3 linked regions of the Daphnia pulex genome follow. The protein of the gene in region 1 interacts with the protein of each later gene in a biochemical or structural test. Links are inferred from orthologs where the notes say so. Each region holds a gene or a part of one and is shown in the gene's direction. Other genes may lie near its edges.

What was found.
Region 2: the proteins of E3 ubiquitin-protein ligase parkin-like (region 1) and ubiquitin-conjugating enzyme E2 J1-like form a complex in vitro, tested with the Homo sapiens proteins (4 studies listed by BioGRID). The link is inferred for Daphnia pulex from reciprocal best matches to the Homo sapiens genes PRKN and UBE2J1.
Region 3: of the proteins of E3 ubiquitin-protein ligase parkin-like (region 1) and eukaryotic translation initiation factor 4B-like, one has a biochemical effect on the other in vitro, tested with the Homo sapiens proteins (2 studies listed by BioGRID). The link is inferred for Daphnia pulex from reciprocal best matches to the Homo sapiens genes PRKN and EIF4B.

Annotation. Positions count from the first base shown.
Region 1 is NC_060026.1:3,260,542-3,265,322, forward strand, and holds E3 ubiquitin-protein ligase parkin-like, read left to right. Parts: upstream 1-1,802; 5' UTR 1,803-1,913; intron 1,914-1,973; 5' UTR 1,974-2,028; coding exon 2,029-2,286; intron 2,287-2,351; coding exon 2,352-2,541; intron 2,542-2,602; coding exon 2,603-2,942; intron 2,943-3,010; coding exon 3,011-3,347; intron 3,348-3,409; coding exon 3,410-3,535; intron 3,536-3,602; coding exon 3,603-3,687; intron 3,688-3,752; coding exon 3,753-3,862; 3' UTR 3,863-4,365; coding exon of another isoform or gene 4,366-4,512; 3' UTR 4,513-4,574; downstream 4,575-4,781. Other genes in the region: histone H4, read right to left, coding at 162-473; histone H3, read left to right, coding at 768-1,178; translocation protein SEC63 homolog, read right to left, coding at 4,366-4,512, 4,581-4,781. UniProt on the Homo sapiens protein: Functions within a multiprotein E3 ubiquitin ligase complex, catalyzing the covalent attachment of ubiquitin moieties onto substrate proteins. Substrates include SYT11 and VDAC1.
Region 2 is NC_060019.1:13,202,487-13,206,083, reverse strand, and holds ubiquitin-conjugating enzyme E2 J1-like, read left to right. Parts: upstream 1-1,615; 5' UTR 1,616-1,778; coding exon 1,779-1,809; intron 1,810-1,890; coding exon 1,891-2,096; intron 2,097-2,169; coding exon 2,170-2,712; 3' UTR 2,713-2,928; downstream 2,929-3,597. Other genes in the region: 5-methylcytosine rRNA methyltransferase NSUN4-like, read right to left, coding at 1-262, 334-465, 526-934, 996-1,169, 1,244-1,354; alpha-(1,3)-fucosyltransferase C-like, read left to right, coding at 3,153-3,163, 3,238-3,346, 3,430-3,597. UniProt on the Homo sapiens protein: Catalyzes the covalent attachment of ubiquitin to other proteins. Functions in the selective degradation of misfolded membrane proteins from the endoplasmic reticulum (ERAD) and is essential for cells to recover from ER stress.
Region 3 is NC_060026.1:16,024,826-16,029,650, forward strand, and holds the start of eukaryotic translation initiation factor 4B-like, read left to right. Parts: upstream 1-1,856; 5' UTR 1,857-2,099; coding exon 2,100-2,112; intron 2,113-2,383; coding exon 2,384-2,521; intron 2,522-2,594; coding exon 2,595-2,764; intron 2,765-2,838; coding exon 2,839-2,955; intron 2,956-3,015; coding exon 3,016-3,256; intron 3,257-3,319; coding exon 3,320-3,772; intron 3,773-3,838; coding exon 3,839-4,124; intron 4,125-4,188; coding exon 4,189-4,273; intron 4,274-4,511; coding exon 4,512-4,825. Other genes in the region: beta-3 adrenergic receptor-like, read right to left, coding at 1-228; V-type proton ATPase subunit F-like, read right to left, coding at 1,008-1,037, 1,098-1,220, 1,281-1,363, 1,434-1,515, 1,589-1,639. UniProt on the Homo sapiens protein: Required for the binding of mRNA to ribosomes. Functions in close association with EIF4-F and EIF4-A. Binds near the 5'-terminal cap of mRNA in presence of EIF-4F and ATP.

The DNA of each region.
Region 1 (4,781 bases):
ATTAATTCAAAATTCAAGGATTTTGTTCTTGTAGCAGCATAAAGTCGACAAGAATATGGTTTAAAAAGTGGTTAAGAAATCTTTTTCTTTAAGTAAATGGTGGCCCTGAAAAGGGCCGATTGGATTGAGTCAGGAGTTAAAATAATAAATCGGAATCAAATTTAACCGCCGAAGCCGTACAGAGTGCGGCCCTGGCGTTTCAATGCGTAGACGACGTCCATGGCCGTCACCGTCTTCCTCTTGGCGTGTTCAGTGTAGGTGACGGCGTCACGAATCACGTTCTCAAGGAACACCTTCAACACACCGCGGGTCTCCTCGTAGATGAGACCAGAGATTCGCTTGACACCACCACGACGGGCAAGACGACGGATGGCCGGCTTGGTGATTCCCTGGATGTTGTCACGCAAAACTTTGCGATGACGTTTGGCGCCTCCCTTGCCGAGTCCTTTTCCTCCTTTGCCGCGACCAGTCATTTTCAAATAAGTTTCAGAGATTTAAAAAATATCGAATGATGTTATGTTAAACTCACTATGGTCCCAATATATACCCTACCGGATCCTCAAGCTGAACTCCTATTGGTGGAACTCAGCTCCAGCCATCATTTGTCAACAAAAAGGATTTCCGTTATAAATTTTCTATTCCCTCCCATTTTTGAATTAACCAATCCCTAGCCAGTGAACTCGCTTAGCTCTGCAACGTCCGTAGGTTCCCCACATATACCAAGCACTTTTCACTAGTTAGGACATCTGAAATTTCACTCGCTCGAAATGGCTCGTACCAAGCAAACTGCTCGTAAATCCACCGGTGGCAAGGCGCCCCGCAAACAGTTGGCCACCAAAGCCGCTCGCAAGAGTGCCCCGGCCACTGGAGGAGTCAAGAAACCCCATCGTTATCGTCCCGGCACCGTCGCCCTTCGTGAGATCCGTCGCTACCAAAAGTCGACCGAGCTTCTGATCCGCAAGTTGCCATTCCAGCGCTTGGTCAGAGAAATCGCCCAGGATTTCAAGACAGATTTGCGTTTCCAGAGCTCGGCCGTCATGGCCCTGCAGGAGGCCAGCGAGGCTTACTTGGTGGGTCTTTTCGAAGACACCAACTTGTGCGCCATCCACGCCAAGCGAGTCACCATCATGCCAAAAGACATCCAGCTCGCTCGTCGTATTCGTGGTGAACGTGCCTAAGCGACCTTTTCCCTTTTGACTTACCAATCGGCCCTTTTCAGGGCCACCATTAGTTGCTTGAAAAGATTTTTCCTGCCAGACATTTCAATATCTTGGATTAAACTAGATCAGTATTGTTTAATTACCAACTTCTTTCTAATTTTCTGGAAATTAATAGTTGTATAAATTTCTTTCATCCAAGGTTGAATTTTAGAATAATTAGTTAGTTGCTATAAGAAGTGTAACGTTATATAAGACCTAAAACTAATTTAATTAAAAGTAACCCAGTAACATGATTTGGTCGACTTCTGTTGGGTTCGTCATTTTCAGTTAAAGTACGGATTTCGATAATTACTTATGTAAATAAACGTGTAGGTATGACCGAAAAAGAGGGGCTTACGAAAGAGGTTAAGTATATCAAGGATTTTTCGACATTACTTATTCTAGAAATTTACAGCAGTTTTTAGTTTGACAAGTTTAAGTTGACCTTCTAGAGCCATAAAAGCCTACAAGCCACAATCTCACTAAACACCAGAATAACAGATAATTTCGTTACCTTTTATATACTCTGCTAAATATAATAAGACGAAGTTGACTTGTTGATGAGAGTGACGAAGAGAAGGTGCTAGCGTCAACCTACTAACTAAATATTATGACGAAATTGTTGCTAGTCCATTTCACAGCAGACTGCAGACGACGTTTGTTCCAATTCATTTCAACCGAAGCCAACGTAAACAATATTTTCAGTTCGTGCCGGTATGCAATATAAAAATATAAAATATTTTTGGTTATTTAAATTATACATTTTTTACGTAGATATCTCGCTTTCATAATGTTCTTCAATCTTGGGTTTTTCACGTAAACCTACAGAATGATTAAATGGCTGTTGTCGCTCATACGTTCATTATTGAACAGAATTTTGAGATTTTTTTGGCCCAGTGATTCAAGTGAATTTACCCTGCCTGTTCACATAAAAGCTGCAGGAGGTAAAACATTTCTTATCGAAATGAGTCGAGATTGGGATGTAGCTCGGATCAAGAAATTTATAGCCCCTAAAGTTGGTCTGAAAGTTGAAGATATCAGCATTATTTTGGCTGGCAAAAGTCTTGCTGATGACTTGTTACTAGAGGTTTGTTAATTTCTTATATTGCTTTTGTTGATATTCTAAGTTTAATTTACCCAACAAATTTTTAGGAGTGTGATCTTGGTCATAATAGTATTCTAAATGCTGTTAAACTTAAAGTCATAAAAAAAACTGATGCAACTTCTTCCGAAGACAAAAATAGGAGAAATACACCATTTCATCAAGACAAGCCTCTTTGTGAAACATTGCTCGACTTGCAGTTAACTGAAGAGGAACAGAAATTGTTGCACAAATCTCTGGGTACGTCTGCAAATAGTTTTCCAAATCATTTTATGAATTCTGACAACTTCCTCGTTTTTAGCTTGTAGTTCTCCAGAGTATAAGCAAAAGAAAGCTCAGTTTTATGTTTACTGTGAATTTCCATGCAAATCAATACAAAGTGGTAAACTTCGAGTTCGATGTAGCCTTTGCAAAGCTGGTGCCTTCACCGTGGACCGAGATCCTTGCTGCTGGGATGATGTTTTACGACCGGAGCAAGTTAGTGGTACTTGTCAGATGGAAGATTGTGATCATTCGTGGGCCGAATTCTACTTCAAGTGCGCACATCACCCTTCACGAGGAGAGACTGACTCAACTCTTCCTCTGAATCTCGTCAAATCAAACTTCAAACAGGTTCAGTGCCTGGCCTGCATGGATATTAGGTAGCAATCGTTTTAAAGTTAAGATAGAATTCAGTAACTTGGCAACTTATTTTAATATCCCACTTTAGTGATCCTGTTTTGGTATTTCAATGTACCAACTCTCATGTGATATGTTTGGAGTGCTTCCAGCAATACTGTATGTCTCGATTGAACGAAAGGAGGTTTGTCTTCGATCCCAATATCGGTTATACCCTGCCTTGTCCAGCTGGATGTGAGAACTCATTGATCGACGGAACCCAGCACTTTAAAATTCTAGGAAATGAGCAGTACCAACGACTCCTGCACTTTGGAGCAGAGGAATATGTTATGTCGACAGGTGGTGTGCTTTGTCCACAACCTGGCTGTGGAATGGGCTTACTTGCGGACCCTTCTTGTCGCCGAATTCAATGCACAGGGGGATGTGAGGTAAGCATATTCTCATAAATATAACCTTGTTAAAAAATGTCTAAATGTTTTTCGCAACTCAGTTCGTGTTCTGCCGCGATTGCCTACAAGGCTATCACATCGACGAGTGTCAGACAAATGGAGAAAACAACTTTCAATCCATGTTGACAACCACCGAGTACGTTGTAGATCCCGGACGAGCTGCTCAGGTTTCTCTAATATCCACATTTGAGCTTGATTCTAGATTAAATGAGTAACATGAAATTATTTACTTAGGCGAGGTGGGATGCAGACAGTCGCGTTACCATACGTGTTACTTCAAAACCTTGCCCAAAGTGCCGAACGCCAACCGAGCGAGATGGTAAATTAAATTATGATCTGGGATTATTTCTCTAACGGTGTAGCTAATTTCTTGTTTGTTCACAGGAGGTTGTATGCACATGATCTGTACTCGACAACAGTGTGGATTTCATTGGTGCTGGGTTTGTCAAACGGAGTGGACAAGAGAGTGCATGGGAAGTCACTGGTTCGGATAAGACAACCTTTCCGCTTTCTTTATCAACCCTTTTATAAAGTACCGTGGTTCCTTGGTGTCGGGTAGTATAAGGGTGGAGAGTGTACATTTCTTTACGCTATACTAGTCAAGAAATTGATGACATTTGGTTCCTATAATAATCTAGACAAATCTGTTAATTGAAAATTGAAATGAATCATTTATCCGAAATATTCAAATGCTGTTCTAGGGAAGTCTTAAGAAGCCTTTAATTTTCCAACTGTCACAATCAAAATATTGCAAACATCCCGTGTTTCACCGATTGAAGGCCTAGACAAGATTTGTGTAATCGGCAGTCGAGGTATAGGGAATGATAAATACCCATATGTATAGCCAATGAAAATAAAGCCAGAAGATTCCCACTAGAAATAAATTTTTCAAGATTTTAAGCCTTTACAAGACGGTGATGAAATTGAATCCTTTTTCCCAATGAACAGAATGTTGAAGTCTCTGGCAAGTGAAAAAAAAGTCTCATTTCTACTGCAATCAGTCCTTGCCACTCTCTTCGTCATCATCATCGGTAGCAAATTCAGATTCGGAGCCTCCAGAGTTCTTATCTTCTTCATCCTCATCATCGGAAATATCCCATTGTGGATGCTCAGTAGGAATCTCCTCTGCTTCTTTAACGTCCATCTGTGAATTAAAATTTTAATCAATCAATAACCTATTTAGCAAAATTAAAATAATTAGCCGGAATATACCTTGATATCCTTCATTTGATCAAAACCAAAATATGAATCGGAGCGTAAACACACGGCGAACGTGTAGAATCCCGGCTTGAACGGAGCTGTGAATTTGAGTTGGATTTCTTCGTGCTCTACTAGATTGGTAATGTGATAGGGGGCGGTCAGAAGCATTTGTTGTTTCCGGTCCGTAATATAAGCCCACCAATATTCTTGTTT
Region 2 (3,597 bases), on another chromosome or scaffold:
GTTTCAGGCAAACTTATCCGTTCTTTCATTCGATCTTTCTTGAAATAATTATTGTCATCCTCCATGACTGAATGCCTGTCATTGGTACAGGGCACATCCACCAGGACTTTATCGAACGCATCAAATTCAGACCAGTGCAAAGCATCCGATTTTCGGACCTCTAGATGTTCCTTCCAGGTTTGCGTCTGCCCAAGATATTGCTTCAGCACATTATTAAGGCGCGAAATCCGCGAAATCGTAATGTCATTGCAGACAAGTCTATCTACAGCAAATCAGGAAGTAAAAAGACAAATTGTAATGAAGCATTAAAGTTAAACTGATGAATTGATTTACTTGGATAGAGCGTCTGTAATATAGCCAGGGATTTCCCTCCTGGTGCTGCACATAAATCCAAGACAGACTCAGTTGGCTGTAGGTTCAGCGCCAATACGGGAAGTAGAGATGCAGCGTCCATCAAGTAATAATCTAGTAAAAGTATCTATGACAATTAGTAATCCATAAAGTGAATCTAGATACTGAACTTACTGGAAGTACCAAAAGTACTTTTTTTAGGGGAAGGAAATCGCGAGATGTCCCCTCGTGGAAAAACAAACGCTTTGAGCAGAGAAGGGAAATCCAGGCGTTCGTCTTTTTGCTTTTCAACCACAAAGTCGTAAGTTGGCTTGACATATTCAAACTGATCTTCTTCCTCTAGCCAATCTTCCATCCCTTTTAATTTTGTTGTCGGAACAAAATTCAAGTAGGCAGAAGTTGTCTGACCAGGAGAGATGACTCTGTCATCTGTGAGCTCTTGAAAGTTTTCACTCTCCTCATCTTCAACACCAGCTTCCTTTTCGAGGACATCAGTAGGCATGTTTTCTGGGGTTTTACGTGTTTTGGTTTTTTTGGAACGGCTTTGTTCAAAAAGTTCTTGAATATCCATGCACCCCATATTCTGAATGAAAGAGAATGAAAATCAATCGAATGAATTCACATTTGAACCCAAGTACTTGTACCTTGAGCTTTTCAATAGTTTCGTTATAGTCACCGTAGTAATTAACTAAAGCACAATGTTTAGGTGTAGACAACATTGCAAGTCTTGTTGCTGGCCAAAGGTCTCCATAAAATGTACCATAAAAATCATCGAAATGATCCAGGGCTCTATCTGTGTTGGTTTTGGACCACAAGTTCTAATAAAAAAACAAATTCGGTATACTACAAATTCATTCGTTGGTATAAAAAGAAATATTTTGTTCATTCTTACAGCTTCTCTTTTGTCAAACTTGTGCCGCTGGCTGACAAAAAATTGTGGGAAATTCCCACTACCGACAGCTTGCTGCAATTTCGAGATTGAACGCCACTTGCGAGCGAACATGTTTGCTTAATTATTTTCATGCGTTCGTGATTTTTTTTAATTTTTCAGTATCTTTGCCTTTGGAATTGGTTTTGGATTATTTGGGCACTCGAGACACGACTGTGATCTTTTTGCAGCACCTTCACTTCACGTGGCCGAGGAGAAAGAAAAAATCGAGGTCTCGTGGAAATATGCAAATTGCAAAATACAAAATTCGGGCGATTCAGAGCAGACGACAAATGTGAAGTGTGGACGCCATCTATGGATAGATAAATGAGACTTTAATATCAACATTTACTGCTACTGGCGTTTCGTTACGATACGTCATCCCAAATAAATCGACGTATCTCAGTCAGATTCAGTTAGCAATTGTATGTGGTAATAACAATCAGTTTCAGTGATACCATTTCTGTATTTGCATTCTTTGAGAAGTGCACTTAATAAAATGGAAAACAAATACAACATGAAAAGTCCTGGTAATGTATATTTTCACTTTTGTTGTGCAATAGCAATTGTTACATCAAGTCTGTTTTCACTAATCTATATGTTTTTTAAAGCTGTGAAAAGGCTGATGAGAGAAGCTCAAGAGCTATCACAGCCCACTGCTGAATATTTTGCCCAGCCTGTAGAAGACAATTTGTTTGAATGGCATTTCTCAGTAAGAGGTCCGGCCGACTCTGATTTTGAAGGTGGAGTGTATCATGGAAGGATATCCCTCCCTCCTGAATACCCTTTGAAACCGCCAAGCATAATGCTTCTGACAGTATGTATTATTCATTAATTTATTGATATTGAATGAATTGACCTAGTAAATAATTGTTTCTCCTTTTCCACAGCCTAATGGAAGATTTGAAGTCAATCGCAAAATATGTCTTAGTATATCTGGTCACCATCCTGAATCTTGGCTTCCTTCTTGGTCCATAAGGACAGCGTTGCTAGCTATTATTGGATTCATGCCATCTCCTGGTATGGGAGCCATCGCATCTCTGGACTACACACAAGAAGAAAGACAAAGGCTGGCTAAAAAATCGCTAGAATTTGTTTGCCCAGAATGTGGGAAAATTTTGAATCTTCTTCAAGAGCCCAGTCAGCTGACGACAAACGAAAACGAAGCCGTTCAAGCAGAAGCCCGAGAGATCGCAGCTCAGGTTACAATGAAGGGTGAATCGAACAACGAAAACCCGCCTGAAGAGCCTGCATCAAACACTGAAGAGCCGATTGCTGTCATCCAGCCGCCCCCACCACCATCCCAGCAAGTACAAACAGCTAGCACCAATAATAATAATGATCTTACCTATAATTACATAATCGCGGCCATCATCGTGGCTTTGGCAATCCTTTTGTTCCGTCGATTTGCTTCGGGTACGAGTGCTGCCTGAGGCTGGAGTCACAATCTATAAATATTAAATCTTTTATTGATTTCCAAAAATTCATGACTAGTAGAGTTAAAATGTTGAGAGGATCTTGTTCCTGGAGAATGCGTATAACGGGACTGCTAAATTCAACTTGATTCTGTAACAATGTGGCAATGAAAATTGTGTATGATTTGTGTATTCATTTATTGCAGATAAATAATTATAATTAATTTCAGGTGATTTAATTGGTCTCTAAAACTTTAATGTTTCAAATGTAACTTTTTGATTTTCTTTCTGTCCGGTACAGGAAAACGTAGGAATACAGTTGGATTTTGAAGTGAAGATAAGCGGGACAGATAATACATCATCGCGGGGAAAAGATAACTCATTTTGATAGATTAGGTTACAGGTTTTCATTTCCATTAGTCTAGAAAAAGTGCAACGGTAGTATAGATGTCATCATCATGGGTAAAAGGTATAAAAGCTCGCTGCAAAGTTTTCGCTGTTTCTTAATAAACTTTTAATTTTTTTCCAATGCCTGAACTATAGCGAAAGAGATCAAAAGAAACAGTGGGGACTCTTCTTTTGTTGCATCATTTTTGTGACTCTCGTCATGGTCTGTTATTACCTTCCACCTGGCTTTCGATTCGGCACAAATGTACATTATTCGACATCTAGATCTTTATTTTAAAAAAAACAAACAGATGATATCTCCTAAATTGAATCTCTAACGACATATAGGATGATTGCGTTGCCCCCTATTATGCAGATAACTCCACGGATCGAGTGAAAACAATTTTATTCTGGACGACTTGGTTTGGCCAAAAAGTAGAGATAGATTTCGGCATTTGTCCCGTTAGCAATTGTCGACTCATTAATGACCGACGCTTGTTAACAGAGAGCGACGCC
Region 3 (4,825 bases), about 13 Mb from region 1:
TTGGCGAGTTCTCAGAATGACAAAAACCACCAACAAGTGGATGGGCACTCCGGTGGTGATGGCTAACACGCGGAAGATGAACATCACTTGGGAATTGTACAGCGGATGCTCAATTTGGAACTGACTGAACAAGTCGTTTTTTAACGTAGTCGGTGGGATCCCGTCACAGTTTTTCAAAATGTCCACCGAGGCATTTGAAATTACGAGCTGTTGATGATGCTCCGACATATCTATACAAGCTAAAATATTTGTCTTCAAGGGTCGACCTCCTACTGATCCTTGTTCAACTTGGCCCAGGCATTTTTCTCACCCAAGGAAGGAATTGTGAATACCGAGTGCGCAGACGCCAGTCTTACACAATAATTCAGAACCACTCTCTGGAAATTTTCGCACTGATAAATAACCCTCAATCTAATCTTGGACACAATTGGATTGAGGATTCGCTTGCCTTTGTGATCCTTCTCAAGAATTTTAGTCTGGCCTCCGGAGGATTCTATCTAATCAAGTGGAAAAAGATGAAAATAATTTATGATTCCGTCTTAACTTCGACAGGAATTGGTTACATCTTATCACGCTTGATGATCACGTTGGCAGGTGTCATAGCAACTAAACTTCCTTCAAAATCTTTTTCCTTGCACAAATTTGGGTTTTTTTAAAGAAAATATTCAACAGGCTAAAAAATCCAATTACGTACTATACTTACTTTTCCTCCCAACAAAGAAGCGCTGATTGATAAAAGATCTCCCAAGTTGGCCCCATCTTTTCTGACGTGAATCTCCTAATTGGCTAAACTTTCTTTTTGGGGAAACGAGGGGGTCGATAATTTCAATCGATTGCCGGAGCGGAAAGTTGTGTACATAAAAGACTGTTGATTGCTCTATTTAAGGTTCAATTAACAATGAAGACTGGACAGGAATGCATCAAGGAAAAAGAAAGAAAAACACCCAACAACAAACAAAAACTAATTGGGGAATATATTCTACGCGCCGATGGCAGTAGGACTTTTATTACTTGGTGTCTTCGGCGCTAAACATTCCCTAGAAAAACGAAAAGAAATGATTTGATCAGTGATTATTGAATTAAAAATAAAAACACACCTTGGCACGACGGAGAATGGAATCTTTTGACGCGTCGTAAGGATGATCTTTGGAAGGAATTTCGAGCACTGCTGGAATTGGTTCATTGTGGTTGTCAATCACGTGCCTGATCATCTCTGCTACCTGAATGATTAAGCGAGGAAGTGAGCAAACACGTAATCAATTCATTCCATTCAAACTCACATTCTGGTTGATGAGAATGATGTCAATGTCATCTCTCTTGAGGAAGCGCTTGAAGCAGTCCTCCACTTCGCTGATGCTCGTATCTGTATGAAGCATAACAAGGAGAAAATTTTACTTCATTCTCCCACCTCAAAATCTCAAGTTGTTTCGTACTCTTGTCTACGACCATAAAGTTGGGCTGCCTGTTTTTGTTCATCTCTCCAATGCCACCCAAAAGGAATCCAACACAAGTGTCCTGCAATTAATCATTGTTTTTTAAAATTTGGAAACCAAATGAAGTTCGATAAAATCATTTTTAATATATTTACCTCATCACCGATGACGGCTATAAGCCTTCCTTTCGCTGCAGCAATGGCCATTTTTGTGTATAGTAAATTGAAAGAGAACTAAAGTGAATTGAGCTAAGACTTCTCTTTCTAGTTTCTAGTCAAAAGGGAACTGTCACATGACTCGTGAAAAAAAAACACACCGACTTTCAATCGTGAATCGATTCATTTTATTAATCGATAGCAGCAGAAGAAGCCATCCAACGCCACCTCGTGTAGATTGGTGGCAACTACATTTACATTCGTTTCGGCAACTAGATATTCGAGGCAGAAAACTTGTTGGCTTGGGTTCGGCAACCAATATTAAATAACAAATATTTCGTAAACTGCTCATTTTAGATACTGAAACTAAATCAAAATTGAAACAGGATTTTTAAACTTCTATGATTTAATTGTGTAAAAAAAATTACGTGACAAACATAAGAATTGTCCAACGAGTCCCGTCCTCTAGCTCTAGTAGTCCGCGCACTGACGAGTGCATTCAGAAAAAATCATGGCTGCTTCCGGTAAGGAAAAATTTCTCCTCGTGGCATTTTCTTGATATTTACTGTTTTAAGCTCGATAAAGAGACCGGTGATGTCGAATAATTGTTTTCCATAATTTCGTCTACGTCGTGGAGTAATTTTTATTTTTGTGGTAACAATCGGATAAAGTGACGTTAGAAATCTTTCCGGTTAAATTCACATGTGGCACTTGTTCGCTTCTGATTTGTCGTGTATAGATTATTAAAAATGGTGCCTTGAATAATGATGTGAATTTTTAACTGTTGAATTTCAGCCAAAAAAGGGAAGAAATCCAAAGGAAAGGTCCTGTCATTGAATGAGTTCCTCTCTGACGACCATGGAGGTTCCAGGTCTGGAGAAGCTGTCGTCATGGCACCCTCCAAAACCAGTTGGGCTGATGAAATGGAAGATGGCAAGTCAAATATTTTGTTTTAATACGCTGACATATTGAGTATCAACAATGTAATTTTTTGTTTTATTTGTAGAGGCGATTTACAAGGAGAAGCTGTTGTTGCCCACAGCACCACGGGCAGCCAGGGGATCAGACATTGATGAATCTAGGATACCCAACAATGCACCTTACACAGCTTATATAGCCAATCTACCTTATGATATTGAAGTAGAGGATGTATCCAAGTTCTTCCATGGGCTTTCGGTAAGAAATTGCGCTTTCACAACAGCAACTTTTTCTCTACTGATATTTCATACTCTTTTTTTCTGGTTACCTAGGTTAAATCTGTCCGTCTGCCAAGAGAAGGTGGTGATGGTGGCAGACTGAGAGGCTTTGGTTATGCTGAATTTGAAACTAGGCAAGATTTAGTTGACGCCCTTACGATGAACGAATTGGTAATTTTGCAAATTTTTCTATTTGACCTTGTAGTGTTTCCATTTGTCCTTGTTTTGCAGATGATTAAGAACCGCAAAATCCGAGTGGACATTGCTAGCGGCGCAGATGGTGATCAAGAACAGGGCGCTGGCGGTATGGGGCGAGGTCGTGGCCGTCCTACTCGCAATGACGAGGAAAGGGAAGATCGTACCCCTTCCGATTGGCGTAATGCACCAAGGGAGGGACCTCCTCCAGGCCAGGATCGCGGTGGTGGTGGTGGATTCAGGGGTGGTGACAGAGGAGGAGACAGGATGGAACGAGGTAAATTTGATTCAACAAATTTGATTTCCCAGCAATGTCTTTAACTATTCTGTTTGAAATTAGAACCTGCTGGCGAACGGTACTCTGCTTCATTCAATCCAAGGGATCGCCCACCCGGCTCAGCTCTTTCGTCTGAGAGAAGTTCATTTGGTCCCAGGAGAGACGGTCCTTCTAGTTCGTTCGGTGGCGGCCGAGACGGTCCTCCAAGCTCAGGTTTTGGTGGTCGCGATCGCGATGGTCCTTCATCTTTTGGTGGACGTGACCGAGAAGGCTCGTCGTCGTTTGGAGGACGAGATAGAGAAGGTGGCTCATCTTTTGGTGGACGTGATAGAGACGGTCCGTCTTCATTCAGTCGCGGACGTGACGGTCCTTCTTCGTTCGGTCGAGACAGAGAAGGCGGCTCGTCGTTTGGACGTGACCGGGACGGTCCCTCCTCTTTTGGACGTGAGCGAGATGGTCCCTCGTCGTTCAACCGTGACGAAATGCAGCGAAGTGAACGCCCAAGCGCTGCTGGAGGTAAGTTGACACGTTCTCCCTTTTTGCATTGGATTGTTAATAAGATTTTTCATTTTGATTATTTAGAACCGACCAAGGAAAGACCAAAGTTATCTCTGAAACCCCGATCTGTCCCAATTGAAGAGGGTTCCGTTGCCGATGAACCAACTGCTGCTGTTGCTCCCATAACTGAACGGCCAGCTGCTGCTGCTGCCCCAGCTCCAGCGGCTCCACCCAGCTCTGCATCCATTTTCGGTGCAGCCAGGCCGGTGGATACTGCGGCACGTGAACGCGCCATTGAAGAACGGCTCAAGGAGAAACAGATGAAGGAGCGGGAACCGCCTCTCCGTGGACGTGAAACTGATCGCCAAGAGTAAGCTCATTCAAATGTTTTATTTGATTCTCGAAACTTAATTTGTTTGTTTTTTAAATTTCAGTGATAGAAATCAACGCGATAATTCCCATGGCAGTGGTGGCCGTTCCTCTGAACGTCCCAGCGGAGGGCGCGGGCGCTCTAGCGAGGTGAGATTGAATTGAATTTCGCTTTGGCTTTTAGTTTTGAAATTAGCACCTATAAATGAATTGGCTTGCATGAATTCCCTTTGCATGTATTGAGTCGTTGCATGGTGCTTAACATTAAAGAGTTGAGGGACAGACACCCAGACTAGTTGAATTTAAATTACTGTCGGGGTCGTATCTGCTCAAACAATTTTTTGATCAAATTTTAATTTTTTTTTAATGTTTTTGTAAAATTTCACAGGGAGAGAAGACGGACGATCGACGAGACTATCGTAATGACGATCAAGACAATCGGCGTCCAGCACGTGATGGTCCTGGCTACTCTGGAGATTCACGACAGGCGCCCAAAGATGGAGACTATCGGCCGCCTCAAAGGTCGACCGCCAATCCCAACGAATACCGTCCGCCAGTGGGTGGTAGGGGGAGCAGCGGCGGAGGAAATGAATATCGTCCTCCCCGACCCAGTGGTGGAGCTGATCGTCGTGACGGAGATCGCCGTGAAGGAGACCGTCGTGACGGTGATCGTCGCGATGGTGATCGTCGTGATGGAGATCG